Notamacropus eugenii: one gene and its partners. The protein of the gene in region 1 purifies or fractionates together with the protein of each later gene. This does not show direct contact. Links are inferred from orthologs where the notes say so. Each region holds a gene or a part of one and is shown in the gene's direction. Other genes may lie near its edges.

The links.
Region 2: the proteins of FBXW11 (region 1) and RASSF3 purify together in Homo sapiens (affinity purification with mass spectrometry; 4 studies listed by BioGRID and IntAct, with this or other methods). This does not show direct contact. The link is inferred for Notamacropus eugenii from reciprocal best matches to the Homo sapiens genes FBXW11 and RASSF3.
Region 3: the proteins of FBXW11 (region 1) and AATF purify together in Homo sapiens (affinity purification with mass spectrometry; 3 studies listed by BioGRID and IntAct, with this or other methods). This does not show direct contact. The link is inferred for Notamacropus eugenii from reciprocal best matches to the Homo sapiens genes FBXW11 and AATF.
Region 4: the proteins of FBXW11 (region 1) and WEE1 purify together in Homo sapiens (affinity purification with western blotting; 6 studies listed by BioGRID and IntAct, with this or other methods). This does not show direct contact. The link is inferred for Notamacropus eugenii from reciprocal best matches to the Homo sapiens genes FBXW11 and WEE1.

The regions. Positions count from the first base shown.
Region 1 is NC_092872.1:403,849,766-403,857,184, reverse strand, and holds the start of FBXW11 (F-box/WD repeat-containing protein 11), read left to right. Parts: upstream 1-4,401; 5' UTR 4,402-4,529; coding exon 4,530-4,574; intron 4,575-7,419.
Region 2 is NC_092874.1:241,330,290-241,337,750, forward strand, and holds the start of RASSF3 (ras association domain-containing protein 3), read left to right. Parts: upstream 1-4,458; 5' UTR 4,459-4,638; coding exon 4,639-4,767; intron 4,768-5,417; exon of another isoform or gene 5,418-5,504; intron 5,505-7,461.
Region 3 is NC_092873.1:375,686,331-375,693,294, forward strand, and holds the start of AATF (protein AATF), read left to right. Parts: upstream 1-3,961; 5' UTR 3,962-4,106; coding exon 4,107-4,197; intron 4,198-5,181; coding exon 5,182-5,373; intron 5,374-6,964. UniProt on the Homo sapiens protein: Part of the small subunit (SSU) processome, first precursor of the small eukaryotic ribosomal subunit.
Region 4 is NC_092877.1:35,862,466-35,869,528, reverse strand, and holds the start of WEE1 (wee1-like protein kinase), read left to right. Parts: upstream 1-4,062; 5' UTR 4,063-4,137; coding exon 4,138-4,716; intron 4,717-5,501; coding exon 5,502-5,707; intron 5,708-6,474; coding exon 6,475-6,541; intron 6,542-6,632; coding exon 6,633-6,805; intron 6,806-7,063. UniProt on the Homo sapiens protein: Acts as a negative regulator of entry into mitosis (G2 to M transition) by protecting the nucleus from cytoplasmically activated cyclin B1-complexed CDK1 before the onset of mitosis by mediating phosphorylation of CDK1 on 'Tyr-15'.

The DNA.
Region 1 (7,419 bases):
AACTGAAAGTTTCCATGGTAATGACTGTATAAATATAATGTGAATTCATGAAGGGATTGGGAGCACCCCCTTAGTGGTTAAGCTCCAACTAAAACTATCATGAATCTATGTATGCACTTACATGTGAGCCCCTTAGCAGAATGCAGGTTCCTTCGTTTCCTTAGAACCTAGCAGAGTGAGCTACTAGCTGTCTGACCGTGGATACTGGATTGGGTTGGATGAAGAAGTCCAATATGGCTTGGGATCATACTGAATTTCATACCTCATGGAATGTATAGGTTCTAGTTTAGTAGAATTATTTTACTTCCAAACAGCCCATTGATCATGGATTAACTGAAATCCCATCATTCTAAGGACAGCAATTAACATTTTTGTATCTAGACCTTTTCCTATCTTGACTCATCAAACCTCCCCAACTTCTAATCTTTAATTTCTCCCTATTAGCTCCTTTACCTGCAGTCTACAAATATGGTTAGGCCTAACCTAGTTTTAAAGATGTTCACTTGATCATACCATCTCCTTGAGAGCTTGTCCTATACCTCTCCTCTGCTGCATAGCCAAACTCCTGGAAAATGCCTTCTTTAAGCCATTGACTCTGTCTTCTCCACCCCTCCACCCTCCATTTACTTTTCAGTTCTTTGCAACTGAAATCTAGCTTCATCACTCAACTGAAATTGCTCTCTCCAAGGTCACCAATGATCTCTAAATGACTACATCTAATGGCATACACTCGAATCTCCCTCATTCTTTTTGACCTCTCTGCATCAGATTCTACTGCCCATCCCTTCCTCCTGAATACTCCTTCCTCCCTGGGTTTTGAAGACACAGCTTTCCCAGATCTCTTCCTACCCTTTTGTCTGTACCTTCCAAGGGACTGGACCAAAAAGTGTTCTTAATCTGGAGTCCAAAAACTTTTTAAAGAAATATTTTGATAACTTTTTAATCACAACAAGATGTGTTCATTAAAGTACCTACTATGTACCAGGCATTGTGCTAAGTACTGGGGTTTTTAAAGAAAGGCAAAAAACAAAACAAAAACCAAAAACAAGCCCCAGATCTCAGGGAGTTCAGTGTAATGAAAAGACAACATGCAAATGACTATGTACAAATAATCTTAAGTAGTTAAATTGGAGATAATCAACTGAGGGAAGGTCTTTAGGGAGGATTAGGAAACATTTCTTATAGAAAGTAGGATTTTAGTTGGGCTTGAAGGAATCTAGGGAAGCCATGAGGTAGAGGTAAGGAGGGAGAGTATTCCAAGTAGGGCAGCCAGCCAGAAGTGGCATGGAGCTAGACTTGAGTATCTTGTGCAAGGAACAGCAAGGAAGATTGGATTGAAAAGTATGTGGGGGTTGGGAGGGAGGGAAGATCTCCAAGGTAGGATAGTTATGAAGGTTATGAAGGCCTTTGAATATGAAAGGATTTTAAAATTTGATCCTGGAAGTGATAGGGAGCTAATGGTGAAGGGCGGGGGGAAGGGAAGGTGATATGGTCAGACTTGGCATTTTAGAAAGATCACTTTGACAGATGAATGGAGTAGGGACTAGAATTGGGAGAGATTTGGGGCAGGTCGCCAATAAGCAGGCTATTGCAATGGTCCTGGCATGAGATGATGAGCGCCTGCCTGTACCAGGATGGTGGCAGGATCAGAGAGAAGGGGCCAAATTGGAGATATGTTACAAAGATAAAATTGACAAGCCTTGGCAATAGATTGTGAATGAGGGTGAGAGGAATAAGTCAAAGATAACACCTAAACTGATGCTTTGGGGACTGGGAAGATGATGGTACTCTTAAGAGTAATAGGGAAGTTAGGAAGAGAGGAGGAGATTGTGGGTGGTGTAACACTTACAGGTGGTAGGAGATAATGAGTTCAGTTTTAGATACGTAAGATTAATATGTCTACAGGACATCCAATTCAAGATGGGCAGCAGGCAGTTGGAGAAGTAGGACTGGAGTGCAAAAATATTTATAGCAGCTCTCTTTGTGGTGGCCAAGAACTGGAAATCAAGGGGATGCCCATTAGTTGGGGAATGGCTGAACAAGGTGTGGTATATGAATGTAATGGAATACTAATGTGCTATAAGAAATGATGAATGAAAGACTTTAGAGAGGCCTGGAAGGACTTAAATGAACTGAATCTGAGTGAAAGGAGCAGAACCAGGAGAACTTTGTACACAGTAACAACTACAGTGTGCAAGGAGAGGAATTTTTCTGGTAGACTCAGCCCTTCACAGCAATGCAAGGACCTAAAAAATTCCCAATAGACTCTTGAGGCAAAGAGTGTTCTACATCCAGAGAAAGAACTATGGAATTGGATTGCTGAATGAAGCAGACTATTTTCTCTTGTGTTTTTTTTTCTCATGATTTCTCCCATTCCTTTTAATTCTTCCATGCAACATGACTAAGGTGAAAATGTATTTAGTAAAAATGTATGTGTAGAACCCATGTAAGATTGCATGCTTTCTGGGGAAGGGAGGGGAAAAAGAGGGAAAAAGGAGGGGGTGGAAGGGGGAGGAAATCTAAGATTTATGGAAGTGATTGTAGAAAACTGAAAACAAATTAATAAAAAGAGAAGTGGGACTGGAGGTCAGGAGAGAGATTGGATCTGAAAATCATCAGAAGAAAAGATTACTGAAACTACTGGAGTTGATGAGATCACTCAGTGAAACAGTACCTAGGGAAGACAAAAAAAAAGGGCTCATGACCACACCCAGATTTAGTTATAATTGGTTTACTTTGTATAAAGGTGATAGTGAAACTATCCCATTTGGTTCTGATCCCCATAGTAGATGAGAACGTTTTGATTCAATCAAACAATCAGAACTGAGTTTGAACTGGCTCCTTGTGAGAGATTGGATCCCACTCTTTATCAATTTGTATAAAAGGAAGAAAGTAGAATTGGGATGAGTGAGTGGAGAAAGATTCTGAGCCACTGGATTCAAGAGGTTGGAGGAGCAAAGGGAATACTGAACAGTGGAAGACAAGGAAGTATCTAGGAGAATTGCATCTTGGAGAAGAGGACCCAGGATGAGTCAAGTCCCAATCAAAGGTCAGCTCTATAGATATTACAGTATAATCTCCTGTTTCCTTACCCAAACGTCTCCTGTAAAATGAACTTTGCCTCAACCACTAACCAAGAGTTAGAAAGAGATTTAACATAAGGTTAGGCAAAAAGCCTATATGTCAGGAATTTTCTTAACTAGGGCTCTTTGCACTTATTACTGAACTCTGAACTTTTCATCTAAAACTTTGTAAAGGTGAAAGCACCAAATGCACTTCAAGAGCCATAATATTTCCTTATAAGTTTAAAAATGAGCTTGCTATTAAAACATAATAGAAAATTTATTGTGCTAAGCACAAAAAATAATTTATAACCACATATTCCATATCATGCATTTAAAATCTTATTCTGAGACTGGATCAGTAGTTTTCATTTTTGTATCACAAGGATCGACACAAAAAAGGTTAAGGATTCCTGGGCCAGCTGATGTCTAAAGTCCCACTAGCGCTGGGGAACTGCATGCCCTCGGGCCCCTCCACCCATTTATTCCCCCTTCAGCATGCAGCGAGTGAACTTCCACCTCGCAGGGCGCAGAGCCCGGTACCTGCCAGTTCTCTGGTTCCTGCCTCCTGCCAAGGCCCGACCCAACATCCTCCACAAACCAACTTCTCCCTGCTCCCGCCCGCCCCCATTTTGCTACTGGGTACCTTCCCTATTCAGGCCCATACGACTCTAGACCCCTCCAACATAAAGAACCCCACAACCCAACCCTTCCTGCTCCGGGGCCTGATTCGCCCCTGGGGTTCCCCCGACACGAATTATTCTAGGTCACCCCTTAATTAAGCTCCGCGGCCCTTCTTCGGGGTGCCGGAGCGAACGGGGACAGATTGCGCATGTGCGGAAACTAGCCGCACGCGCAGGGCCTCACTGACTGTTAAGTCGTCTTGGAGTTTCCGCTCCTGTTTTAGGACTACGGTTTCCGACAGTCATCAAGGTACCCAAGTAGTTTCGGGGAAGCGCGCCGGAAGCACCGAAACCTACAAGGCCCGACCGCAGAGGCTAGTGGGATGTGTAGTTCATGAACGCCTCAATAACTCTCTTTACTCAGGAACCCCAATTCTGCCCAAAATGTAGCGGTCTTAACTCCCGACGAACAGAGTCAAGGTTAGGGCGTCCTCTGGAAGCTCAGGCTTAGGCTGCATTCGCAGGCGAAGGGATCAATCTAGAGCCAGGATTTCAATCCCAGGAAGCTCTGCGGCGGACAGGCCGCCCGGCTCGGTATGCCCTGTAGTTGGGCGCGGGGCTTCCTGGGAGCTGTAGTCCCCGAGTTGCGTTACGGCGTTGGCGGAGGGGAGGGCGGAGCTGCCGGCGGCCCGGGCGGGCGGGCAGCTAGAGAGAGTGCGATCGCCGCTGCCGCCGCCGCCGCCGCCGCTGCAGCCGCCACTATCGCCGCAGCCGCCGCCGCCGCCAGCTCCGGGGCCGTTCGCCGCTGCGGGGAGCGAGAGGCGGAGGCGGGGCGGGTGCCGCGATGGAGCCCGACTCGGTGATCGAGGACAAGACCATCGAGCTCATGGTGAGTGCGGCCCCGCCGGACCCTCGGCCCCGGGCCTGCCCAGCGCGATCGGAGGGCCCGAACCCTCCCACAGCCCCGATTCCGCCTCCCCTCCCCCCAGCACTCCCCGACGGAGGCCTGTCCTGGCTCCCCCCGCCCTCCCTTCCCACCCGATTCCTCTTCGGGTCTGATCTTTTTCTCCATTTCCCCTCCCTACTCCTGGCTCGCCGACCCGATCCAGGGATCCCCCTCCCCCCTCCAGTCCCCACTCTTGCTCCCGAGGACCCGTTGCCTGCTCCCTGGCCCGTGACCCCGACCCGCCGTCCGGGTGATCTCCCCTCCCCCATCCTGTCCCCTTTGCCCCTCCCCCCGCCTACCCCCACCAGGCAAACACACGCCCCCAGCACCCCAAAGGGTCTTCTTTCCGACCCCTTCCCCCTCAAATCCATCCTGGCTGATCCACCTAGTCCGGAGCCTTGGGCCGCCCCGCCCGGTCCGAGCCTGCACTCTCCCCCTCACCCCCATCCCTGCCCCCGCTGCATTTCTCGTGATTCCCTCCCCTTTTCCCCTCTAGACTAAGAGAGAGGTAGAAGAGAATGGAAAAGGAGGGTCAGGGAAGCCCCAGTCGCCATTGCTTCTCATCCTCCTCTTCCTCAAGCCTCGGAGGCCTCAGTGCACCCCCTTTCTCCTTCACCCTCAGTCTTGAAGTAGCTAACCCTCGTCCCCCCCGACCCGAGTAAGAGCGCAGAGTCTGTGAGTGCTCCGGATAATCGGTTGGGTGTATTCCGGGAGCTCGGTTTTCTGGGAGTGACTGATTTATAGCCCCGGATCTCCCGGGCTTCTCTGGTGACTGGATTATTGGGGTTGATCCGGACAAAGGGCTTCTGACATTCTGCGGAAATCCCGGCAGCTGCTTCACGCTGGAGGGCTCAGAGGCTTCTCTGAGGATACAGTATTTTAACTGAAAGGAAGAGTAGCTGTTTACTCATTTTTTTCTGTGTTTGCAGGGACAGTGAAGCCCTGATAGGCCCTTAGTACCTTCCAACTATTCTGCAAAAGCAAGAGGCTATGACTAATTGATGGGGTAAATCAGCCTTGTATTAGAAACCAGTGCGGGGTTAGGGAGCAGAGCTCCAGGCCTGGGGAAAGTGGATCTGGAACCAAAACAAGTCTTTGCAGAAATGGGTGACAGGATGGTATAAGGAAGAGTAACAGTAGTAGAAGTGGAGCATTTTAAAATTTCTTATTTCTCCCATGATGACTGACTGAAAGACGTATATATGGCAGGTGGTACCTGCCAATTTTAGCGGCTGAGGAAATCAATCATAGGGAATATGCTGGGTGGATAACTTAGTGCACATTCACCAGTATTTTAAGGCTAGTTTCTAGTCTAGGCTGTATTAGCTTCTCTACCCAGCACTTTTGCTACAGAAACCTTGATGGTTTCTTTGTATCTAGTCTAACAGTAACAAGTTTTTCCCTGAGTTGAAGGAAAGGAGGACAGAAATCACTTGTCAAATTATATCAGAAGGTTTTCATAGTCAGATTTTTCTCAATTCATGAATGCCTATTGAGTCAAAGATTCCACTAGGTAGGGTCAGTGACATCAGAGCCACTTCCACATTTAATGCTATAAATAATAAATGGTGACTACTCTGAATGCCCTTTGGATAGCTACCCAGTTTCAGTAGATGTTGATATATTAAGGACAGAGCCACATTTTTTTTTCAGATGGAAGTACAGTAGCTTAAATATGGAGGTAGCTCAATATCTACTGTCTTTTTGCTTTATTTAGATAACTAAATTTCCTCAGTGCTTTGAACACTAGAACCAGATCATTTTCCCCAGAAAGTTTTCAAAAAGTATATTTGTATAGTATATTTGTGGCATTAAAAAAAAACAAACCATGATATCGATCATTTATTGAGTAATTTTGCTTTTTAGCAGTATTTTATAGCCAGCAGTAATCTATTTAGGCATTTGATACACACTTACAGTATGTTATTCTGGCAAAAGATACTGTAACAAGGACTACCACTCATATATACTTAAACAGTATAAACATTTAAGATTGAAATTTAAGTCTAAACTTTTAAGCAGAATTTTTCATATTGAAACATTGTGAAACAAAAATGGTTTGATTAGGCTGATAATGAGCTGCATATCTTGGTAACTGAATACTTATTTTTTAAAAAAACTACAAATCATCTGTTTTCCTAATTACTTGGTTAAGTATAAATGAAGACCAACATCTTTATGTTAAAATGAACTTTTCAGTCTCAAAGCCTAAAATCTTAATCTTCTAAGGTTCAAACTTTAGACCACAAAAGTTTTTGACTAATGTGACAGTACTTGTCTCTGTTCTAACAAGACAGCCTTCTAAAGCTAGTGAAAAAAAATAAAAGCAAACTCTTTACCAGATGTACAACACATCTGGATATTCATAGAACATGTTTAATAACCCTAAAGCTATAAGGGGGTGCAGGTGGGGGTGGGGTAGAAGCTTCATCTAAGACTTTGCTGTTCTTTGTGGGATAAACTAGTTAAGACTATTAAAGCCTTTCCTCAAAGCCTTTTTTTTTGTACTTGTGTTGGTATATTAGGGCAGGTAAATATAATATATTTAAAGCTTGAGTGACAGTATCTACTGATAAATTAGAAATAGTATCAGTGGATCATTGCTTGAGACTTTTCTTTGGTTTATATTGGGGCAGCATCCTCATTCTATAAATAAACAGATCTTTTACACCAGTTTTTAAATTCTTTAATTGATAAGGAACTGTAGAGAACCCAATCGATCTACTACTGTGAAAGTTTAAAAAACCCAAAGCAGGAAAGTTTGTTTTATGAGTCCACTTAGGTAGTT
Region 2 (7,461 bases), on another chromosome or scaffold:
TGTGACTGATTAAATCAAGAGATCTTTTAAAATGATTTTTGTTTGCTTAATCTCTCTTGACATGTTCTCCTTCCCTCGTCCCTTCCACCTCCTCCCAAAAAAGTATTCAGAAATTGTGTATTTAACAGATTTACTATGGGTGGAGAAATTTTCCTTTTTTCATCAACAATAAAAAATACTTCTAAATTCCCATTTAAAAATGACGTGTAGATAAAAGAAAGTCTTTAATAAGGATTACAGTAGTGAAGGAATGTAAGACAAATCTATGGAGAAACAGTACATTTGCTCCATCCTCTCCTCTCCCCTGAGGGTTAAGGTGCAGAGTCATAATAAGACATCTTTCACTTGAAGCAAAAACAGATGTTGGGTGGGTGGTGGCAGCGGAAGGGTAGCTGGTGGTGGTACACTGGACAGTCCAATCATGGGCATAGTGTCCCTGGCATAGGAGCCATCCATTCCCTAGGTATTTCTGCAATTCTCAATAAGGTTTTGGGAAGAAGGTAAGTGAGGGGCAAGTGGGTTGCCAAAGGACGGTGGGCTGGGGCCAGGTGAAGGAGTAGGGGACAGGTCACATGCTACAGGCCTATGAAGGTTGATGAAGCACAAAGCACTGTGATGATGAAAAAAGCCCCCACCAGATCTGTTCTCCTTAACAGGGTTCTATACTCCAAAATTAACTAACCTTTCTTCCTCCCTGCTTCCTCAAATAAAAACTCATTCCTTCTGAGGTTAACTCCGCTAGATGCTAAGAGGAAAGGAAACATCCTTTAGTCTAACTGCCTCATAGCAGAGATGGGGAAAATTAAGCCAAGAAATGTGGTGACTTACTTGTCCCAAGTTCTTCAGGTATAAATGACTGATGTCTTCTCTCTGAGGGTTAGGGTAGAAAGTTTACATTTTAAAAAGGAATTGTTCTTCATCAAAATGAACCTGTCATTGCAAAATTTCAAGCAATAGGAAGGAGGGATTTTCTGAGAGGGAAAGAGGAGCACTTCTCTGAGGGCCTCTAAACTGTTGCATATATTTCCTGTTAGGCTGATCCTGAGTACAGACATTTAAGAGCACTTTTATTTTGACAAATGAGGGTTCAAAATAAATTTAAACCCTGGGACTTGTTTTAAAACTGTCCTCCCCCTTCAACCAAAACCTATAGACTAAAAATAGTGATTGTAATAATAATTTTTGGGTCAGGAACTGAGATTTTATTGGTGTAGGGACTGTCCAGAGCAAAAAAAGTATCTCCACTTACACTAAAGAGATCAGAGAAAGAAGAAAAGGACCTATATATATATATGAATAAATATTTAGAGCAGCTCTTTATATGGTGACAAAGAATTAAAAACTAAGGAAATGTACATGTACTAGAGAATACCTCCATAAATGATGGTATATGAATGTGATGGAATACCATGTATTGTAAGAAATGGTGAATTATAATAGCAGTAATAGCTAACATTTATGCAGCACTTACTACCTGCCAGGCACTGTGCTACATGCTTTACAGTTATTATTTCTTTCGATCCCCACAACCCTGGAAGGTAGGTTCTATTCTACAGATGAGGAAACTGAGGCAAACCTCAGTTTAAGAGGTTTGCCTACAGTTACACAGTCAGTAAATGTCTGAGGCTCTATTTGGACTCGGGGTACTTTTCTCCTGGGTACAACCTACCTGCTCAAGGGGACAAAAGGGCACAGCTGCAGAGAAACCCTGGAAGGCTGATGCTGATTGATGTGCACAGAACCAGGAGAACGATATATTCATTAACAACATTGTAGAGACAAACAACTTAGAAAAACTTAACAACTTTTAATCACCATGGTGACCAACCATGTTTCCAAAGGGCTCATGATGATCACTGCTTCTCACTTGCTGACAGAGAGGTAGGTGACAGACTAAAGTGAGAAATATGTTTTTTTTCTGGAAATAGCCAACATAGGAATTCATTTTGCTTGACTATGTATATTTGTTATGAGGATCCTTTTTTTCTTTTTCAGTGTGGAGGGTGAAAAAGTGAGAAATAGAAAAAAATTGTTGAAAAAATATTTTTGTGGAAATTAAATGCATTTCAGAGGAAACTCTGGACCAGTCCCATGTATCCACAGCAAATACCACATTATTATTTGTGCAAATCTGACCCTGATAACCATCCTTATCATATGTGTCTGACTTCTCCAAACCAACTTTCACCACTTACATGAGGGAGAAAGTGGTATAGTGGCTAGAGTTCTGGGAAGTCTTGAGTTCAAATGTTACCTCAGACGCTAATTAGCTGTGTGACCCTGAGCAAGCCCCGTAACATCTATCCCAGTTTCCTTACACATTTACCTTCTAGGGTTGTTAGGAGGATCAAATGAGATAACATTTGTAAAAAGCACTAAGCACAATTCCTGGAGCATAGTAGGGGTTATATAAATTATTGCCTTCCCTCCCTTCCTAGGTAAGGGACTGAATAGGGATAGGAACTGGATCTGTGATTTCCTTGTTATAGGGAACTCCACAGTGAGAAAACTTCATCTATCTGTATAAGTTGGTAGCTCTTTAAAACTTACCCTGAGCATTGAGAAGGTAAGGGACTTACCCAGGGTCACAGTGAAACCAGTTTTTGCTGGCTTTGAGTCCTCCAACTCAGAACTCAAGTCACTAAGAGAAGCTGCTTCATCATCATCATAGCAATCAACGTTTCTGTAATGCTTTACATGTTAACTCTTAATCCTCACACCGATCCAGATCCAAAGAGCTAGGTGCTATTATCATCCCCATTTTACAAATGAGGAAACTGAGGCAGACAGATGTTAAGTTACTTGCCTAATGATAAATGAGGCAGGATTCCAGTGTGCCAGCTCACATTATATTAGAAATGATAATTATCATTTGGTTTTTCATGTTATTAATTTTTATTTATTTGATAATCAAATTAAGATTCAGAAAAACAAAAGATGAGACAATTTGAATTGACTCAGCAATTTTTTTCTGTGCAAAATGATTCTAGCTTTTTCCTAATGTTACAATTGCTATTTTTAAAAAAGCAGACCGTTCAAAACTTCTTGTTTCAATTGAAGAGTACTACTAGTTTTATTTTAGTATTTTTATCCTCCCTTGGAGGCCCTCTCTGAGTCTGAGGCTCAGACAACATGCCCTTTGGGATCTTTTCTGATGGGGGCTGCACTCCCTTGCCATCCCCAGCTTCATGTTGGGCCCCTGGCGGGGCAGCAGAGGAGACAGCTGCCTGGGTTCCGGATCGAGGGGGCTGTTGTTCTCCCCCCACCCCCGCCCCCCAAGCCTGGCTTCCAGCCAGTTACTGATGGCAGTGGGGACGCTCAGACCGCAGCAGATTTAGGCAGGAAACTGACCTAAGGAAGGGGGATGGGAAAAAAGGGAGCAGCGCAGGGCTCTTAGCCTTGTTCCTGCTGGAGAAGTAGTTGGAGGTTCGTTTCAGATCTCCGTAGCCGGGCTTGTGCACCTGGGATCCAAGCCGTTAAAAAACATTTTTATAACTGCATTTTACTAGCTGGTTTGACACTAGTAAATGTAAAAGTAATAAAGAATAAACACTGAACTGCCCTTTGCCAGCGGGTTTCCTTTGTAAGCTTGTGCATTTTATATTATGCATCTGAAGACGTAATGCCGAGGGCTGGGGGTTTCCCCTGGCCAACACCAGACTGCAAAAGGGACCCAAACACCAAGAATGGTTCGGAGCTCCTACGGTTTGGGAACCGTAAATGCAGAACCTGCAGACCTGCAGTTGTGAAGGAGGCCCCTCACTGAGAGAATCACGGGCCACGTCAAGTCACTTACTAAGTGCCCACTACGTGCCAGGCGGCGGGGATGCAGAGAAAGGCCAGTTCCTGCTCTCGAGGGGCTCAGGGCTAAAGAGGGGGGCAGTGCAGATCAGCGGGGAAAGGCGGCGTGCCTGGGCTCACCGACCCCAGTCCTGTGCCCATCCTGGGGAAAGCCTACGAAGCCAGGGCGTGTGTTTACGTCTCCGCCGCCCTAGGACCCCTGGCCACGTGCAGTCACCAGGGGAAGGTTTCCTGAGCAGCTTCTACCGCGCTGCTCGGGTTTTCGGGACCAGATAGGGTCGGAGTGACCCGGGGCCACCTGGCACCGGACAGGTTTTCCTACAAGGAGCGGCCGATCCCAGGCGATGCCCGGAGTCTCGAGGACTGCCCCCATCCCAAAGTTGTTGAAAAGAGCCTGGGGGGTGGGGGGAGGAAAGGAGGACGGAGGCGGCGAGGGAGGCCGCCCCGCGGGGGGCCGGGGCGGAGAACTGGGGGGAAAGGGGTGTGGCCAAGGGGCTGGAAGAGCGTGGGGGAGGAGTGCGAGAGGGCGGGGAGGACCGTGCCGGACTCGGCTGGGAAGGAGGATGGGCTAGACGGGAGAGGAGGGCGGGAGGCTGGCAGCGGCAGGAAGCCGGGCCGGGCCGGGGGCCAGCCGGGGAGCGGAGGCGAGCCGCGCGCGGAGGCCGGCTGGGTGGGTGTGTGGCGGGGGGGAGCGGCGGGAGGCGGAGCCGGGGCAGCCTGCGCCGCGGCGGCCCCCGCGTGGGGTAAAGAGGGCGGCCGCCCGGCTCTCCCCGCACTGCACCCCGGGTCTGCCGCGGGCGAGGGTTCCCTGCTCGGCCGGCCGAGGCCGCCGGGTCGATGACGTGGACCAGCAGCATGAGCAGTGGCTACAGCAGCCTGGAGGAGGACACGGAGGACTTCTTCTTCACCGCCAGGACCTCCTTTTTCCGGAGACCTCCCCAGGGCAAGCCCCGCGCCGGCCAGCCAGTGAGTGGTGCCCTCGGGACCCTGCGGTGCCCCTCGTGTGCCTGTGTGTGTGTGCCTGTGTGTGTGTGTGCGTGCGTGTGTCGTGCGTGTGTCTGTGTGTGTGTGTGTGTGCGTGCGCTTCCCACGCGCACAGAACGTGCAGAGACCCCAGGACATGGCCCTGGAGCTGCCAGCCACCTCGTGCACCCCTCCCAGCCCTGGGCTGCTTCACGAAGCAGCCGTGAACTTGCAAGGGAACCTAAGGGACACCTTGATTCTCACTAACCTTTGGTGTCCTTCGGAATCCCGTTTTATTTTGTGCGTTTTAAAAAAAACTTGATTTTGGGAAACAATTCTCCACATCGCTCAAGGGTTCTGTGACCTAGAGTGAAGAACCCTTGACTAATTCTTTTTTCCCCAATTTACTGGTGAGGAAACTGAGGTCCACGGACAGGACAAGAACCATGGGTTTTTTTTCTTTTGCTTTTCTTTATAAAACCCATAGCCTGATGGTGGTTTGTGGAGTTGTGAATCCGGTTGTGGAGCGCTTAGAAAATCCTTAAAAGCGAGCGCCCTGCAAATGCGCTGCATTTGGGGGTGGGGAAGGTTCTCTGCATGGAGAATGGGGAGAAAGGGAAGGCTGTGCCGTGACCCCCCACTGTCACACTTACCATATGGTAGCTCCCGCTCCTTTGCCCGGGGCAGTGGGGCTTAGGCTGCTGCTCGCTCTTGTGGGTGCAGATGTACTGGGCTTGCTGCTGGGGTGGGGGAAGGGCGTAACCCAGACTTCCTAAGTCGGCCCGACGAGTGGAGGGTTCGTTCCCCTAACGAACCCGGAATATTCAAATCGGTTCAATTCACAAAGCGCCTAGTGAGCGCTCTTGGGCCAGGTTACCCCTTGGGACCTAAGAAACCCTATTCAGCCTGCCCGTTGTAGGCAAATAAATCCGCGTGGGGCTGAGCAACTGTGACTTTTCTGTCTGTACTGTGACGTCTCTCTTTGTCCCACCTTATGCCCGACCTCCAGGGTCATAACTGGTGTGTCCGTGACCTCCTTTTATGCCCCTTTGCAGGGGCAGGATGGATATTCTCCAATATAACTACGTTTGTGTAGGTCCACATTCTCAGAAGTTCTTCACTGGGTAAATTAACCCGTTAATTAGAGCCAATTTAATTGAGAGGAAAAATATTTCCAGACTTTGGCTGGTCTTGCCTAGAGGCAGAGTATCAGGGGACTCATTACTTCTGGAAGAGATAGGCAGAAGGGATCTTTAGACCCGACTAACCAACCATGACAATATTTCACTGAGTGCCTTTCCCATAACTGAACTGACTTTGGGTTGGGTTTCCAAGGCTGGGGCTTGAACTCATGCTGCCCTGGGCTCTGGGAGGGACTGGCAGCAATCACGTTAAAGAAGGTTGTCATGGAACAAATTTGTTGTTCCCCTTGGAAGAAAAAAATAACATTTATAACCAGACTTATTCTTGGAGCTTTAGGAGGGAGAAAATAGTTCAGGGGCTTGGGTGATGAGATAAAAATCACATTTTTTTGGTGCCGTGTAATCTCACTGTCAGGTTTTAGTTTCCAGTTCTTGTTTTTATCCCAGTGCTTCTTCTAAATACTCCATACTTTGAAGCATATCAGTCAATTCCTCACCTTCCACAGGGAAGTATTGTATAGAAAGTGCTTTAGGATGGCACTGTATAAAAGTGGGCTAGTTCTATGTAAGATGAAGGGGGCTTACTTAAGGCAAACCCTAGGCCCATCTTGGGAGCATTTTCTCCTTTTAGATTTGGAGCTCCTGGAGAGTACTGTCTTTTTCCTGTGTTTGCATTGCCATTTCTTTGCAGAGTGCCTGGCACGTAGTAGGTATGGAAATATTGGAATGATTTTATGGAATGATTTTTCAAGCCTTGTTGTCAGGATGTTTTTAGATCCTGGAGATGCTCATAAATAATGAATTAAATGTGTGTTAACAGAATAAGAATAATATGAAGGTTGAGGCCAGGAGCAGGCATCTCCTTCATATTTTAGAAGTTTCTAAAGAAGCCAGGCATGAGTGTTTCATCACTGAGGAGGAAAAAAAAGCAGGGGTGGATCCCAGTCTTCTGTTTGAGTTCTTCTGGGGTCAGATGACCTGGCTCTTTGATAGTATCTGTTGTTTTAGTTTCCAAACTGTCTCAGCTCCTTTTGCTACCAGAGGACATGCTTGTTTTGGGAGGAATTTTTGAGTGCTTTCCCCATATTGATTTTTTCTTTTTTTTCCCCATATCTTTTTCATTTGACTAGTTTCTCTCCAGTATCTCCCCCCTTATCTTTACCTTCTCTCCTTCCACTTTTGTTACCTTTAACATGGATGTACAGCTGCTAAGAGTGATTTTTAGTGTTGATTGGTTGTTGTCCTTCGTCTTCAAAGAGGACCAAAATGACATCACCATGATAAAGTGAAATTTCAGTGTGGCTGATCAGACCAATACAAGCTCAGAATGCTCTTCCACAGGTTGGGCACAGATAGTCCCTGTGAATATTTGGGGTGGATATCCCAAATTTGTGCATCCTTCATTTACTTTGTGTTGTCTCAATTCTGCTTTGCTCAAAGAGCGCAGCACCCTTTCTGATGTGGGCATGCCATGCTGAAGGGTCCTGTGCCAGTGTCTCCCATGTTGTACAGTCAAATCCAAAGTTCTTGAGAGAGATCTTGAGAGTGTCATTGT
Region 3 (6,964 bases), on another chromosome or scaffold:
CTTCTAGTGAAACTCTTTCATTTTATAAGTGAAGAAACTGAGGCCCAGGTCAGACTAGTAGTTGGTGATAAAGCGGTGAGTCAAAATTAGCGCACCTAATTGCTTCCTGAACTTCTCTCCCTCCACTCATTGAGCTGAGAAGTCTAGAAGCTTTTGTGCTTTGTTGTTCAAGCTCCAGGACCCAGTCACCTGTGGGAAATAACAGCTGGCTGTTCTTTAGTCTTGCCAGAGAAAGATAAAAAGAACTAGAAACTGCAAAAGGTCAGAGCTGATTAGAAAAAAAAAGACTGGATTATCTCTATAGATTCCTTCCCATCACCCATGGGCATCATGATGCCTGAGAACTCCCATGTTTGTACAATGCCAATAATCTTTACCTCCATTCTCCTTCCTCCCTTCACTGCTTTCTCTTTCCCTCCTCAAGATGGTCACTTTTTAAAAAGTTCATAACCCCCAAAGAAGCAAAAAGAAGCATTATTTTATGGAAAAGAGGCTGGATTTGGCATCAGGAGACCTGAGTTTGAATTCTGCTTCTGCTACTTACTACCTATGTGACTTTGAGCAAATCTTTCTGGACTTGTTTCTTCATATGAAAATGAGGAGGTTGAATTTGGTGACATTTAATACATCTTCTAAATCTATATCTATCCTAATATTAAGAAAAGAGAGAAAGCTAGCAATGGGGAAAGAATAGAGATACCCTTGAAAATGAAGGTGGGAAAAGAAGCTTCTTCATTTAAAAGCAGTTTGGGTTGCCAAAAGTAGTCTACACCAACATACAAGTAAGCCTACCCCCTCAGGGCCACAGACTTGGAGCCTCCAGCTACTGTAATAATAACTGGCATTTATATAGAGCTTTAAACACATTATCTCATTTATTTCTCACAACAACCCTGTAAAGTAGGTAGTAAGAATGCTATTATCTCCATTTGATAGATGAGGAAACTATCACAAGGGATGGAGGGAAAACTGCCTCTGAATTCCTGAATCATTCTCCAGGCTTTGATTGAGACTTATGTGTCCAGCAGCTTCCATTCAACTTTCCAAATATTCCAGGTAGGTCAGTTCTAGGAAGACTAATCCTTCTTCCTTTGCCTGTCCAGTTTTCAGGAACTTAAACCTCAGCTTTGAGAGTTGTTTAGGTTGAAGAAAGATTCTGATTATGAGTAGGGCTCCATGAAGAGTGGAATGGAGGATTTGCAGAACCTGTGATCTCATTAAATATGCCTGAGGTTCCAGTAAAGATACATGATGCATCCCACAGTTAAGCTCTGGGACAAAGCAGGCTCAATAGGCACCCAAGATCCAGGATACTAGGAACCTGCTGGACACCTGTCTCTTTCTGTAGACCTCTAATAAAGTCTGATTACATTCAGGTCTAGGATCTGATCTCAGGATCAGAGATGTAGAGCTGGAAGGGAGCTTACAGGTCATCTAGTCCAACTCTTATTTTAAACAGAAGGAAACTGAGGCTCAGAGAAATTAAATGATTTATCCAACATTACATAGGTAGTAAGCCTGGTGGGCTTTGTACCCAGGTCAGGTCTTCTACTTTTCATGCTGCTTTTTTCTATTCTGTTCTTTCTTCCTTCCTTTCCTTTTCTTTCCTTCTTTCTTTCAGGTAGAACAACCATTTCATTTTTCTCTCATCTGTTCATGAATGTTGATGGGAAGATAGCTCTTTATATGGGCTTTGGGGGGGGAAGGGTGTCTGGAGGCAGCACCTCCTTTCATGCCTCAAGGGATCAATTCCTCACTACCTTGCTGTGGATCCTGCAGCTCACACAGTAATGCAGTTTCCCATACAGTTTGGGCAGCACATAGGAGTCAAAAATGCTGGCCTCAGATACATCCCTAATGGCCTCAGCTTCCTCTATATTTCAGATCATGAATTTCTTGATGGCCTTGTCCTTGGGCACACAGTGGGGGCAGATGGTGCAGCAGGTGGGCTGCACGTGGCTGCAACCCTTCATGGAGCATCTCTTGTTCCTCCTTTTCTTGGTCATATTGTAAGCCAGGAACTGAAAAGGGTTTTTTTTTCCTTTTATTTCTTCTTGTTTCAAAGATTTTGTGTCTTTGTGAGTGACCCAAGCAGAATTTACTTCTGAAGACTTTCTGCTGTCCCACGGTCATAGAAACTAAGACTATATTTCTTATTCTCTGGGTTTTTTCTGCCATGCTGTTAAAAAAAAAAATCTTCACCTTGGAAGTTCATTCTATATTTTTGGTCTCCTCACATTGGACGTACCTTCGACCCCTTCGGCCTTATTCATCGATCAGCCAGTTCCTTCCAATGGAGGAGGAAGGTCCTGGAGACCTCCTCCATTCTGGGGATGCCCAGGTCAGCCATGCTTTCAGTCCTCTCCAGACTGCACTCTTGCCTCTGGACATTTATTATGCCCCCAAGCAGGGTACTAGCATTTCTCCCACACACATTCTATTTCCCCTTTATGTGTTGTCTTCCTCCATCAATATAAACTAAGCTCCTTGAAGGATGGACTATCTTTCTGCTTGTGTTTGTATTTCCAGCACTTACCCCAGTGTCTGGTACGCTGCAGTTAACAAATGCTTGTTGATTATCTAAGGCCTTGGCCCTTAGTGGATCCAAGAAAAGGGGAACTTAAAGGTGTGTTGGACTTAACCGTTGTTCTTAGTGCATATTCATTTATCTGTCCTAGGGAAGAGTTATTTTTTCTTTGTTCGCTACGTACTTGTTTATCTTCATGAGTTTGTGTATGTAGGGGTATGAATATGTACACAGAAAGGTAATGCAATGGAGAGAGTGCTGGACTGGGGAGTCAGGAAGGCCTGTATCTGACTTTTGCCTCACACACGTAGTAGTTGTGACTCTGGGCAAGTCACTTAACTGCTCCCAGCCTCACTTGCTTCAACTGTAAAATTTGGGTCATAGTAGCACTTATCTCTCTGTGGTGGATTGGCTCACCATGAGTGAGTATCGTTGGTATAGTGCTTTGTAAAAGTGCTACCTAAATGTTAATTATTCTTATGTAGGTTTAGTTATATGTGAGAAATGCCTCCACACATTTGTTTCAGGATGTCTAAGGCTGAAGTTGACTTCATCCTTGGATGGAAGAATCTGGGATGAACTCTGTGCCTAGAATAAATTCAGTGTGCTAAGAGTAAATAAGCAATAAGTGCCTATTATGTGCCAGGCACCTAGCCAAGTCCTGGGGATACAAAGAAAGGCAAAAAATAGTCCCTGTTCCCAAGGAGCTCACAATCTAACGAAGGTAGACAAAACAGGGCAACAACTGTGGACAAGTGAGCTATAGAGGTGACATACAGCAAGCGATCCATAGAGGGGCAGTCACTAGAATTAAGGAAGAATCAGGAAAGACTTCTTGCAGAAAGCGAGGTTTCAGCTGGGATTTGAAGAAAATCAGACACGACAAGAGGAAGAGATGAGGATGGAAAGCACTTCAGGCAGTGAAAATCTCCGCGTGGGTAGGTGGAGTTTCTTGGTTGAGGAACAACAAAGAGCCGTGTGAGACTGGAGAGGGAGAGCCTGGCAAACGTGCCCCGGCGGCCCATGCCCCGCTCAGGCTCGTCCAAGGCTGGCCCCCCGCGCCCGCCACACGCCTGCCGCACTCCGCCGGACATCCCTGCTCCGGCGGCGCCGGCTTCTCCTCCTTTCTCTTTCCTGGTGACCGCCTCCCCCTTTATCATTCGTCAGGGGCTCCCTTCTCCCCGCACCAGCCGTCACGGACGGCTAGAACAGCGAGAACCGACCGAAAGACTCACAGACCCAGCCTCGCAGCCTAGCAGGAGGACGGCGCAGCTACGCGCACACCCCCAACTTCTGCCCCCCCACGCACGCACGTATTTTCGCACGCAAGCGCATACTTGGTCTCCGTTGAATTTCCCTCTCGCCTTTTCTCCCCGCCCCTCCTTCCGTTTACCGTGACGCAACGGCTGGCCCCGCCCTTACCCATCTGCCCCGCCCCCTCGGGCCGCGCGCCTCCCGGAAGTTGCCGGTGCAGGATCCGCGATCCGCGAGCGTGAGTCGGTGCGGCGTTTGGCGGAGCCGCTCCGGGGGAGGCGGCGGCAGAGCGCGCGAGGACTGGGCAGGCTGGGGTCGCGAGATCATGGCAGCCCCGCAGCCCCTGTCACGGCAGCTGGAGCAGCTGTTGGACCCGCGGCCGAGCGAGGCGGACCCGGAGGCGGATCCCGAGGAGGGTGAGTGAGAAGGCTCTGCAGGCCCGGGGACCACGTGCGGGGTGGGGGGCGCTCCTCCCCGCTCTGGGTGCCGCGCTCCAGGGGGAGGGGTAGGGGCCGCGCTCCAGGGGGAGGGGTGGGGGCGGCTCTTGGGCCCTAGCCCAGCTTCATCCTGCGGTCCTGCGTGTGCTGTACGCCCCCAGCCGCACTGCTTCGGGGCCTGGGCACGGGTGTCTGGGGACTGGGCGTCGTGAGGGGGCAGCTTGCGTGCTGGGTTGGAACCACAGGAACTGGGTTCGAATACGGACACCTGCTCCTGGGGAGCAAACACTGCCCTTTGCCTTTATTTATATCGTTAGCCTCTCGCCAGTGCCCGGCACATAGTAGGCGCTGAGACCTTGGGCAAACCAGGCAGCCTAAAGCGTTTGTTAAGCTCCTGCTACGTACCAGGCTCCGGTCCAGACGCTGGAGATGCACCAAAAGGCTAAGCCAGTGCCTGCCCTCAAGGAACTTAGGTTGTGGTGAGAGACCATGCAAATAAGAGCACGCAGTGGCTGTGGAGTTCAGAGGACCCGGTCCGAGGCCTGCCTCTGGGACCTGCGCCAAGTCAGTTAGGCTTTCTGAGCCTCAGTTTCCCCATATGTAAAGTGAGGGGGCTAGGCCCAATGGCCTTGGAGAAGCTTATGATTGTTTGATTTTACTGTATAATATGGCATGCATATGAAGGGCCTGATTTGTTGCTTAGGTTTTCTCTCCTTCCCCACCCCCCCACACCCCCAGTGTATTTGGTTATATACAGATGGCTCCTGAGAAAATAAGTGGGGGTTATGCAGTTTGGTTGCAATCTGTTGTGCTGTTTGGCTCCACTTTAGCATAGTCAGATATTGGGTGACTTCTTGGAGTTGGTGGAGTGGGGGTGAGAGGGAGGATGTAAATAGCTGCCCTCTTATGGGGGACCTTTTTAATGACTCTTTCTCCTCCCCCTCCTCTTTTTTTTTCTTTCAGCCACTGCTGCCCGAGTTATTGACAGATTTGACGAGGGTGAAGATGAAGACAGTGACCTCACTCGTGTGGGAAGCATTAGGAAAAGGGCCTTTGCTTCCATCGTAGATACGGACAAACGATATTCAGGCAAGACTACTTCTCGAAAGGCTTTGAAAGAAGACTTGTGGGAACAACCTCTATCAGAAGCATCTGGTGAGATAGATATTATATATGTCTTACTCTTTCTCTCCCTCTCTCCTGTTTCTTTGGGGGTGAAACCTTTGAGAATTGCCAATTCAACAACAAACTACCATATAAATAAGCCATTAAAGGAAGATATAAATCCAAATGAGTTATATGGATCCTGCTATCAAGTAAACTGCAGCCCAGCAAGGTAAATGAGATACATAGACAAACAGATACCAAGTAGAGTGGGATAGTTGTATAAGAATGTTACAAACAAAATGCTGTGAGAATTCAAAGAAAGGAGAGATCACTTCTGCCTTAGGGGAGGGCGATGGCATTTGAGCTTGACTTGAGCTTTCCCAAGACTGATTAGTAATATTTCACTGGACAGAAGTGGTAGGAGGGCATCCTAGGCAGATGGAATAGTGTGAGCAAGCACCCAGAGGCAGGAAAATAATTGTATATGTTTTGAAAATATGAATTAAGCTTGCTTGCATCATATCATGTGAAGGGAAGTATTGTGGGATGGTTGGAATGATAGGTTGTTGTGTCTAGGTATGAGAAGTATTAATTTGGAAAGGTTATCATTGCTGTGGTGTGTAGGATGGATTGAGGCAATAAAACTAGTTAGAAATTAGTTTTAGTACTATAGAAGAGCTTTGTGCTGTGGTTCCCCAGGGTCTTAGAAGATATTGTATGGTTTTAGAGCTGGAAGGGAATAAGATTCTGAATCCTGGAAAGAAATTATGCTGCTGTTTCTCCCTGTTCAGACTTATAGTTGAGTAGAGATGAGAAAATGCAGATGGGATGCTGGAGAAACATTATGTTCTGCTAAGTTTAGTTCTTACTTGGGATATTGACTCCTTAGTTTGTTTCCAAGCTCCCTCATTGTTTCATACTAGCTGACTTAGCTTTATACTGGTAAAAATGAAAGTAATCCATGCTTTCTTTCTCCCCAAAAGTGGATCATGAGAATAAGTAAAAGCACTGAGTTTTTCAGAGGAGTAGCAAGTCAAATGGAAGAAGTTGAAGGTGATGGTCAAAGAGTATCCCTATTTGGATGTTTTCAGTAAGACAGGGCAAAGCATTTGACTGTCCTATTGTGGATGATAGTCCTTGACAAAGAACTTATACAATGTTAGGGCTATAATAGCTGAATTTTCCCCTTATTTTAGCTCTAAGATCACTGATTACTCGGTTTCTTATTCTTCAGCTATAAATAGATCTAAGGATCAGTAATAAGACATAAGGGATGAGAAAAGGTGGCTTCCTGATCCGTGTGACAGAAGAATTGGTATTGCTTTAAAAATATATACCTTGCTACAGAGTCATAGAATTTTAGAGTTGAAAGAGACTTTAGAAATCATCTAGACCAATTCCTTAATTTTCCACCAAATGTTTGGAGAGAGGCACTGACTTACCTAAGGTCACACAGCAAGTTAGTGGCACAACCTGGACTAGAAACTTCAATCATTTGACTCCTAGGTCACTGCTCTCTGTGTCTTATTCCATTCCCAGAAGGGACTATTGATTTCCTGTGTGTTTTTGATTTGCATATTGTGCCCAAATGTACTGAGAGTGAAGTAAAGACCTCCTGAGGTTGTCTGGTAGTCCTGGC
Region 4 (7,063 bases), on another chromosome or scaffold:
GCAAGAATCCACCTCTGCTGGGAGCAGAGGAATGTCTGGCCCCACAAAAGGCCTTTCACTCTTTCAGTCCTGTTTCTTAAAGGGGACAAACAGGTTAAGTTTGCTTGCCCAACCACCAGCAGCAAGAACTTGCCCTCTCTTCGGTTATTGCAACATTATCAAAAACTGTATGGACTGGGCAAAAATTGCCTAGCAACAGCACATTGAGCAACATCTCGGGGTGAGGAAGGGAAGGAGGCCCCGGGGCTGCTGGGTGGGAACCGTTCTCTGCAGCCTGGGAGGCTGGAGACGCCGAGTTCCCTTTAAACAGCCCAACACAGAGGGAGCCAGGATTGGCCATTTAAAAGGTGAGCTGCAGTCTGCTACCATACCCTCTGGTCGCCCCAGCCTGTGCACAGGATGCGCTGTGTTCTTGGGGGAGAGTTTCTCTTATCTGACCACTTTTACTTAGAGAAAAAAAGGCACCTTCACCTCTAAAGTCTCAAGGCAGACAAAGGCAGACCTCACGCTAGAGCTGATGTTCTCCTGTGGCAGAATGGAAAAGAGACAACAGAGCTGGGTATTCACAAGACCAGGATTCGAATTCTCTTGCATTCATTACTAATTATGGGACCATTTTATTTCTTTTTCTTGAGCTTTAATTTCCTCATCTCTAGAATAGGGTTAATATTCCCTACCATAGTTTCAGCTAGGCATATTTTCACCTGGGGTAAAAAAAGAGTTGGAGGTATGGGGTTCTCACCTGAGAAAAGGGGAGGTTCAATATATCTGCCTGGCAGAGTATATTCCCCCGTGGGCGCTAAGAGGAAGGCAGCCTGGAACGGGCAAGTGGTACCCTGATCCCATATGTGCGTGTTTCTACTCAACTATTATTATTAGCATTTATAGAGCTCATCAAGATTTGCAAAGTGCTTGACAAATATTAACTCTGGGGGGAAGTGCTATTATTATTTCCATTTTATTGGTGAGGAAACTGAGGCAGACAGCTCAGTCGGTCCACTAAGTGTCTGATGATGGATTTGAATTCAGTTACATTCCTCTGCAGCTGGGTGACATGGTGGATAAAGCCCAGGAGCTGGAGTCAGGAAAACACTAGCTGTGTGACCTGGGGCAAATCACTTCACCCTGTTTGCCTCAGTTTCCTCATCTGTAAAATGAGTTGGAGAAGGAATGGTAAACCACTCCAGTATCTTTACTAAGAAAACTCCAAATGGGGTCACAAAGAATCTGACCTGACTGAATAACAACCATACTCCTCTGCAATCTATCTCATAAGCTTGTAGTTAGGCTCAAACAAAATGTAAAGTATCAATTATTGCTAATTACCTAGCAGCAATCTTTTAGCATCTCCCTGGGTACAAGACAAAGAATTCCTGGCCTGCTGGAGCTTATAGTCGGATTGGGAAGACAAGACACACATCCAATTTACCAGTGATTTATTAAGTACTCCCCACCTGCAGGGTTTTGTGTTTAGCACCAAGGGAAATAGAAGAATGAAAAACAGCATTATCCAAGTTGTTAAGGAGATGACAATTAATACAGAAGATGAGAAGAACCTAAATGAATATGCCCAAGAGCTTAATGTGATAGGAAGAAAGGTGAGATCCAGAGGGTTAGGAGTATCTGAGGAAGAAAAGGGAGGTCACATTGACCCTAGATCAGAGGGGGCAAACATAGGGTTAATATTCCTGAGTACTGTCCAAATCAGATTAAAATGTAATTAGGATATATTTGACAAGATCAATAAAAATATGATAAAATCCAGATAACATAACATTTTCAAAGTAAAGTCAATATTCGGTTGGCAGGGTTTTTATGTACAGACTAGTGGGCCCTTTTCTGTTTGAGTCTGATGCCACTGCTTAGGGGTGGGGGGAATTAGAGAAGGCTTCACAGAGGGGACACCTGAGCTGATCAAAGAAGAGAAATTATTCAAAGAGTGATGAGGAGAAACTGCATTCCAGTGGGCACACTGTGTGAATACAGGAAATTGTGAGAGGTCAGGACAAAATTAGGAAACAGCTAGTGGAAAGACAGAAGGATCAAAGGCTGGAGATTGGGTAGAGCCCTAGTGTGAAGGGTCTTCCATACCAAAAGCATAGACTCCAAAGGAAAGAAGGGTGGTGGTGAAGTTGGAGGAACACCTTGGCTGAGCCAGAGCCTCAGTTTCCTCCTCTGTAAAATGAGGAGGTGGGAGGGGATGACTCCTGGGTTCTTTGCCTTCCCTACATCTGGGAACCTGTGGTTTTTATCCTGTAGGAAGCCACTGAAATCTTTGGGATGGGAGTGACATGGTCTCTAACCTGACAGTCAGGGAAGATTATTTTAACATTATGTGATGGATGGATTTGAAAGAGAAGCCATGTATAACCACTGGAGAGGTTGTTACTTAAAAGGGATGATGAGGTCCCCAACCAGAGGTAGTTAAAAAAAAAAAAAAGGAGATGGATGGGTGGGATTCTTTAAAGTTGGGGATAAGAAAGAGGGGAAAATTCAAAATGGTTCAAAGGTTTGGATCCTGGTGACTGGAGGAGGATCACACATTTTAACAGAAATTGTATTTTTCATATGTATAAAGGGTAGTATGTTATGCCTTCTCAATGGGGGGAGGTAGAAAGAGGAAAAGAATTTGGAATTGGAAAATAAAATTTAAAAAATGTTAACTAGGAAGTTGGAAAGTCCTTGGCTCTGTCCAGGACAGGTGGGCTGGGGCACGGAACAGGGCACTAGGACGCTCCGGGAGGAGAGGCGCTCGGGGCTGGGTATATTTGGGTGGCATCTGCCGGGAGGTGATAACGGGGACAGTGGGCGCGGAGGAGAAGACGACTAACGGACCCCAAAGGGCAGGAGATAAGCCAAGGACAGGAGGCCAAGGTTCCTGGGCTCGTCTGGCCTGGTTGGGGCGCCCCGACCGTGGACGTCTTTCCAAAGTCTGATGGTGTCTCCTTTGGACAGTGACACCAGGACGCCCTTCGTGGGGGGCCCATCTAGATCCCCTCCTGCGCCCCCAACGCTCGGGACCCTTGGGGCTGGCCGCCCCCGACCACCCCCCGGACCCACGAGGGGATTGAGGCCAGGGTCAGAGCCCACGCGTGACCGGACCGCGGAGGGGCACCCCACTCGGGGCCCAGCAGGTACGTCCTCGGCGGGATTCCGGCTGCCAAGGTCTGCCCGGACGTGGACTTTGCACACGCGTGTTTACTCAGCTGCTGGACGGAGTTCTGTTCCGCCTGCCTGGCCGCAGCAGGGGGCCCCGCGGTGACCGCTCACCCCAGGGGGCCAGCCCAGGGGCGCCCAGGCCCCGGGGGCCCTCCCTTCTTCCCCATCACAGCTCAGGGAAAGCACCCCGGGGGAAAACCCTTCTCCACTGACCCCAAAAATTCCGGTCTGCGCCTCGCAACCCTCCCCTTCCCCCCACGCTTCCCCCTCCTCCTCCTCTTCCTCTCCCGGTTTTCTCCCCCTCCCCACCGTCCCACTTTGACCCTCCTCCTTCTCACCTACCAGTTCCCCCCCCTTTCTACTATTCTTTTTCTCCCCTCCCCCCATTCTTCCCCCCTCCCTCCTCCCCATTCTCTTTTCCCTTTCCGCCCCTTTCGTGGGGAGGGTCCCTCCACCACCCTGTCCCCCATAGGCCAGCATCCCTAGCCACGCCCTCTCTCCGCCCCGCCCCTCTCTCCCTGGACCGACGTGCGTCTGTGTTTGTGTGTTTCTATCTACGTGCGTGTAGGGGAGGGGCGGAGCCACACATTTCGCGCCAAAATCGCGTAGCACGTACCCTCCTCCCGCGGGTAACGTAGCGCCCTCCTTTTTTTTCAAACCCCAGACGGGGCGGGGATTGGTAGGTTGGGCGTTCACGTGATTAACGGTCGCGGGAAGCCGCGGAGCCCGAACCTCGCAGGCAGATCGGCTCGCCGCGCAGCCCCTCGGTTCGGCCGCCGCCGCCCCTGCCGCCTCGGAGCCGCGACCCCAGCCCTCGCCCCCCTTCCCCGGTCGGCGCCGGGGGCCGCGGTGACGTCCCGCCGAGGCGCAGGAGCCGCCGCCGCCCAGGCCGCCCGGGCCGCCGCCGCCCCTGCGGAGCTCCCCGGGCCGCACGTGGCGGTCCCGCCCCCTCGGCCCCGGCTCCCTGCCCCGGCCCCCATGAGCTTCCAGAGCCGGCACCAGGCGCCGCCGCCCCGCGGCCGGCCGGGAGGCTCCTGCGCGCTGCGGCAGAAGCTCATCTTCTCCCCGGGCAGCGACTGCGAGGAGGAGGAGGAGGAGGAGGAGGAGGAGGACGAGGGCAGCGGCCACAGCACCGGGGAGGACTCCGCCTTCCAGGAGCCGGACTCGCCGCTGCCGCCCGCCCGCAGCCCCGCCGCCCCGGGGCCGGCCACGGAGCCCGAGAGCGAGCCCGGCGGCCGCCGCCGCGCCCCGGCCCGAGCCCCGGCCCCGGGCCCGCCGGAGGAGGAGATGCCGCCGGCCGACGGAGGAGGCGCGGGCGGCGCCGAGGGCGACTCGTGGGAGGAGGAGGGCTTCGGCTCCTCGTCCCCGGTCAAGTCGCCGCCCCCCGCCGCCCCCTACTACCCGGGCAGCCCCCTGTCTCCGCTCCGCGGGGACCGCTCCCCGCGCGGCCGCCAGCGCCGCGACGGCTCCTGCTCGCCCGTGCCCGACTACCCGGGCACGCCGCCGCACAAGACCTTCCGCAAGCTGCGGCTCTTCGACACGCCGCACACGCCGAAGGTGAGCACGGGGCCGCGGGGGCGGTCACCTAGCCGCCCGGCCGCCCTGGGCACCGAGCCCCGGGCACCGGGCCTGCCCTCCCCTCGCTAGTGGCCGTTGGGCTTATGTAACCGCAGCCTGCGCCTTCCCCGGGGCCGGGCCGCGGGACGGCCGGGGAGCAGAGCCAGCCCCCGGCCTTGTCAGCTTGTGTCCCTGGGTCTTTTTAGTGGGAGCCGCCCGGCGGGTGCGGGGCTCGGCCGCGGGGGCTCGGGGGGCTGTGCGGGGGAAGCCAGCCCCGCGCCCGAGGGAGCTGAGACCCGTGTGTCTGTGTCTGTGTGTGTCTGTCTGTGTGTCTGTGTCTGTCTGTGTGTGTGTGTACACACGTGCGTGAAGACCCGCACGGCACGCCCCGCTGCCGGGCTTCAGCTCACGTAGGGGTGTCCTCCAGTGACACCTACCCTGGGCGTTGGGCTCACGTTTGCTGAGAGCATGAGCGTCTCCTCTGCCCAGCCAGCGTGAAAAGCCTCTGGAAACGTTAGATGGCTCCAGAAAGGAGTTCTCGAAAATGCCTGGCTTTCCCAGCCGAGCGCCGTCCCCTCCCCTGTTTATGCGGCTTAAGATGGAGGCTGCGCGGGGTCTGCGGGGCCGGGGCAGAGGGGAGGGCCCGCTTCACCGAGGGGCGGCTGCGGGGTCTGTTGCACCGGGGGATCGGCCCGGGCCGGGGTGCCCCGCCTTGTCTGGCCGGGCGCAGCTGTCGGTGGGCCCACCGTCCTTAACGCTGACCCTCCCTCCTCCTCACCGTCCAGAGCTTGCTGTCCAAAGCCCGAGGGATAGACTCCGGCTCCGTGAAGCTCCGAGGCGGCTCCCTGTTCATGAGCTCGGGACGAGCCGACAAGCCAGGCTTTGACATGAGGCAGACCCCCCAAGTGAACATTAACCCCTTCACTCCAGACTCGATGTTGCTGCATTCTTCCGGCCAGTGCCGCCGAAGGAAGAGGACGCATTGGAACGAGTATGTCATTGGACGGTGTGATCCCCAAGAGCTTGTACTAATGGTCCTGTTCACAGTTAGCGTCTAGACTGTTGTGTTCCGGAGGTTCTGGAGTGGCAGCAGTGTGTTTAGCTGTAAAAATGATGAGTGCTATTTCCTGTTGAAAAAGGATCTTTGTAGAGCAGGAAGAAATAAAAGGTTGCCTGCACATCTTGGAGGAAGGCATGGAGAGCTGGGAAATTAGAGGTGGTAATGAATAGTCATAAGAAGGGAAAGTTAGAGAGATGGAGTGCTGTTGGTGATACAGCCTGCTTCAAGAGGTGGTGAGACCCTGGTCACTGGAAGTTTTCAAGCAGAGTTGAGACACTCTCAGGGAAGTGTTTTTTATCAAGTGAAGGGGTTATAGCTGTTAGATGATGGGACTTCTTCCAACTCAAAGGTTCTATTAAATTCTAGGTTGGGAGAGTTAACTTGGAAGGACTTTGGGAGACACTTGTAGTAGGGTTAGGGAATTACCGTCCAGGTCATTGGGCTGGACCAGATATAATATTTGATAGTCATAGAATCCAGAAAACAAATGTGGGGTGAAGGTCTTCACCATAAACTAAGCTGATTAGTAATCTTACCTTAAAAACCTTTGAGGGAGCAATACTTGGTTACATCTTCAGCCTCCTCCTATGAAAATTCCACTAGTAATCTGTATAGACTTGCCAGATAAAGTTGAGAGCATGGGTTGGAATATGTCTTGCAAGTATATTTGATGCAGAGAGCACCAATTCTTGTTTCAGTTCCTGTGATGAAGACATGGAAGCGAGTGATGGGGAGCTTGAAGATGAGACCCCCAGACCTGCCAAGGTAGGTTGTTCAAGCCTCCTCTTCTTTGGTGCCATCTTCTGTTGACTTGACTTTGATACTTTTGAAACAGTCAATTTTTTTGTTGTTACAGAGAATTACAATTACAGAAAGTAACATGAAATCAAGATATGAAAGTGAATTTCATGAACTGGAGAAGATTGGGTCAGGAGAATTTGGTTCAGTATTTAAGTGTGTAAAGAGGCTGGATGGATGTATCTATGCCATAAAGCGATCAAAGAAGCCATTGGCTGGTTCTGTGGACGAGTGAGTATTTTTTTTAAGCCCTCCTCTTTGTTTCTGTGCTCCTTTGTCAGAGGTACTTTGTTAAACTCCTGAGTTCTGGCAGCATCCAAGTTCCAAACTTAAAAGTATTGAAATTGGAAAGGTTCTTTAAAGTTAGAAAAATTCTCTTCTGGTCCGTTTTGCTTTCTTTCCGAGTAGCTTTCTGTTTGAAGTCTCGTCTGAATTTGGTACATAACTGTACTGCTCTTACCTTTACAAAATGTATTTCCATGGATTTCT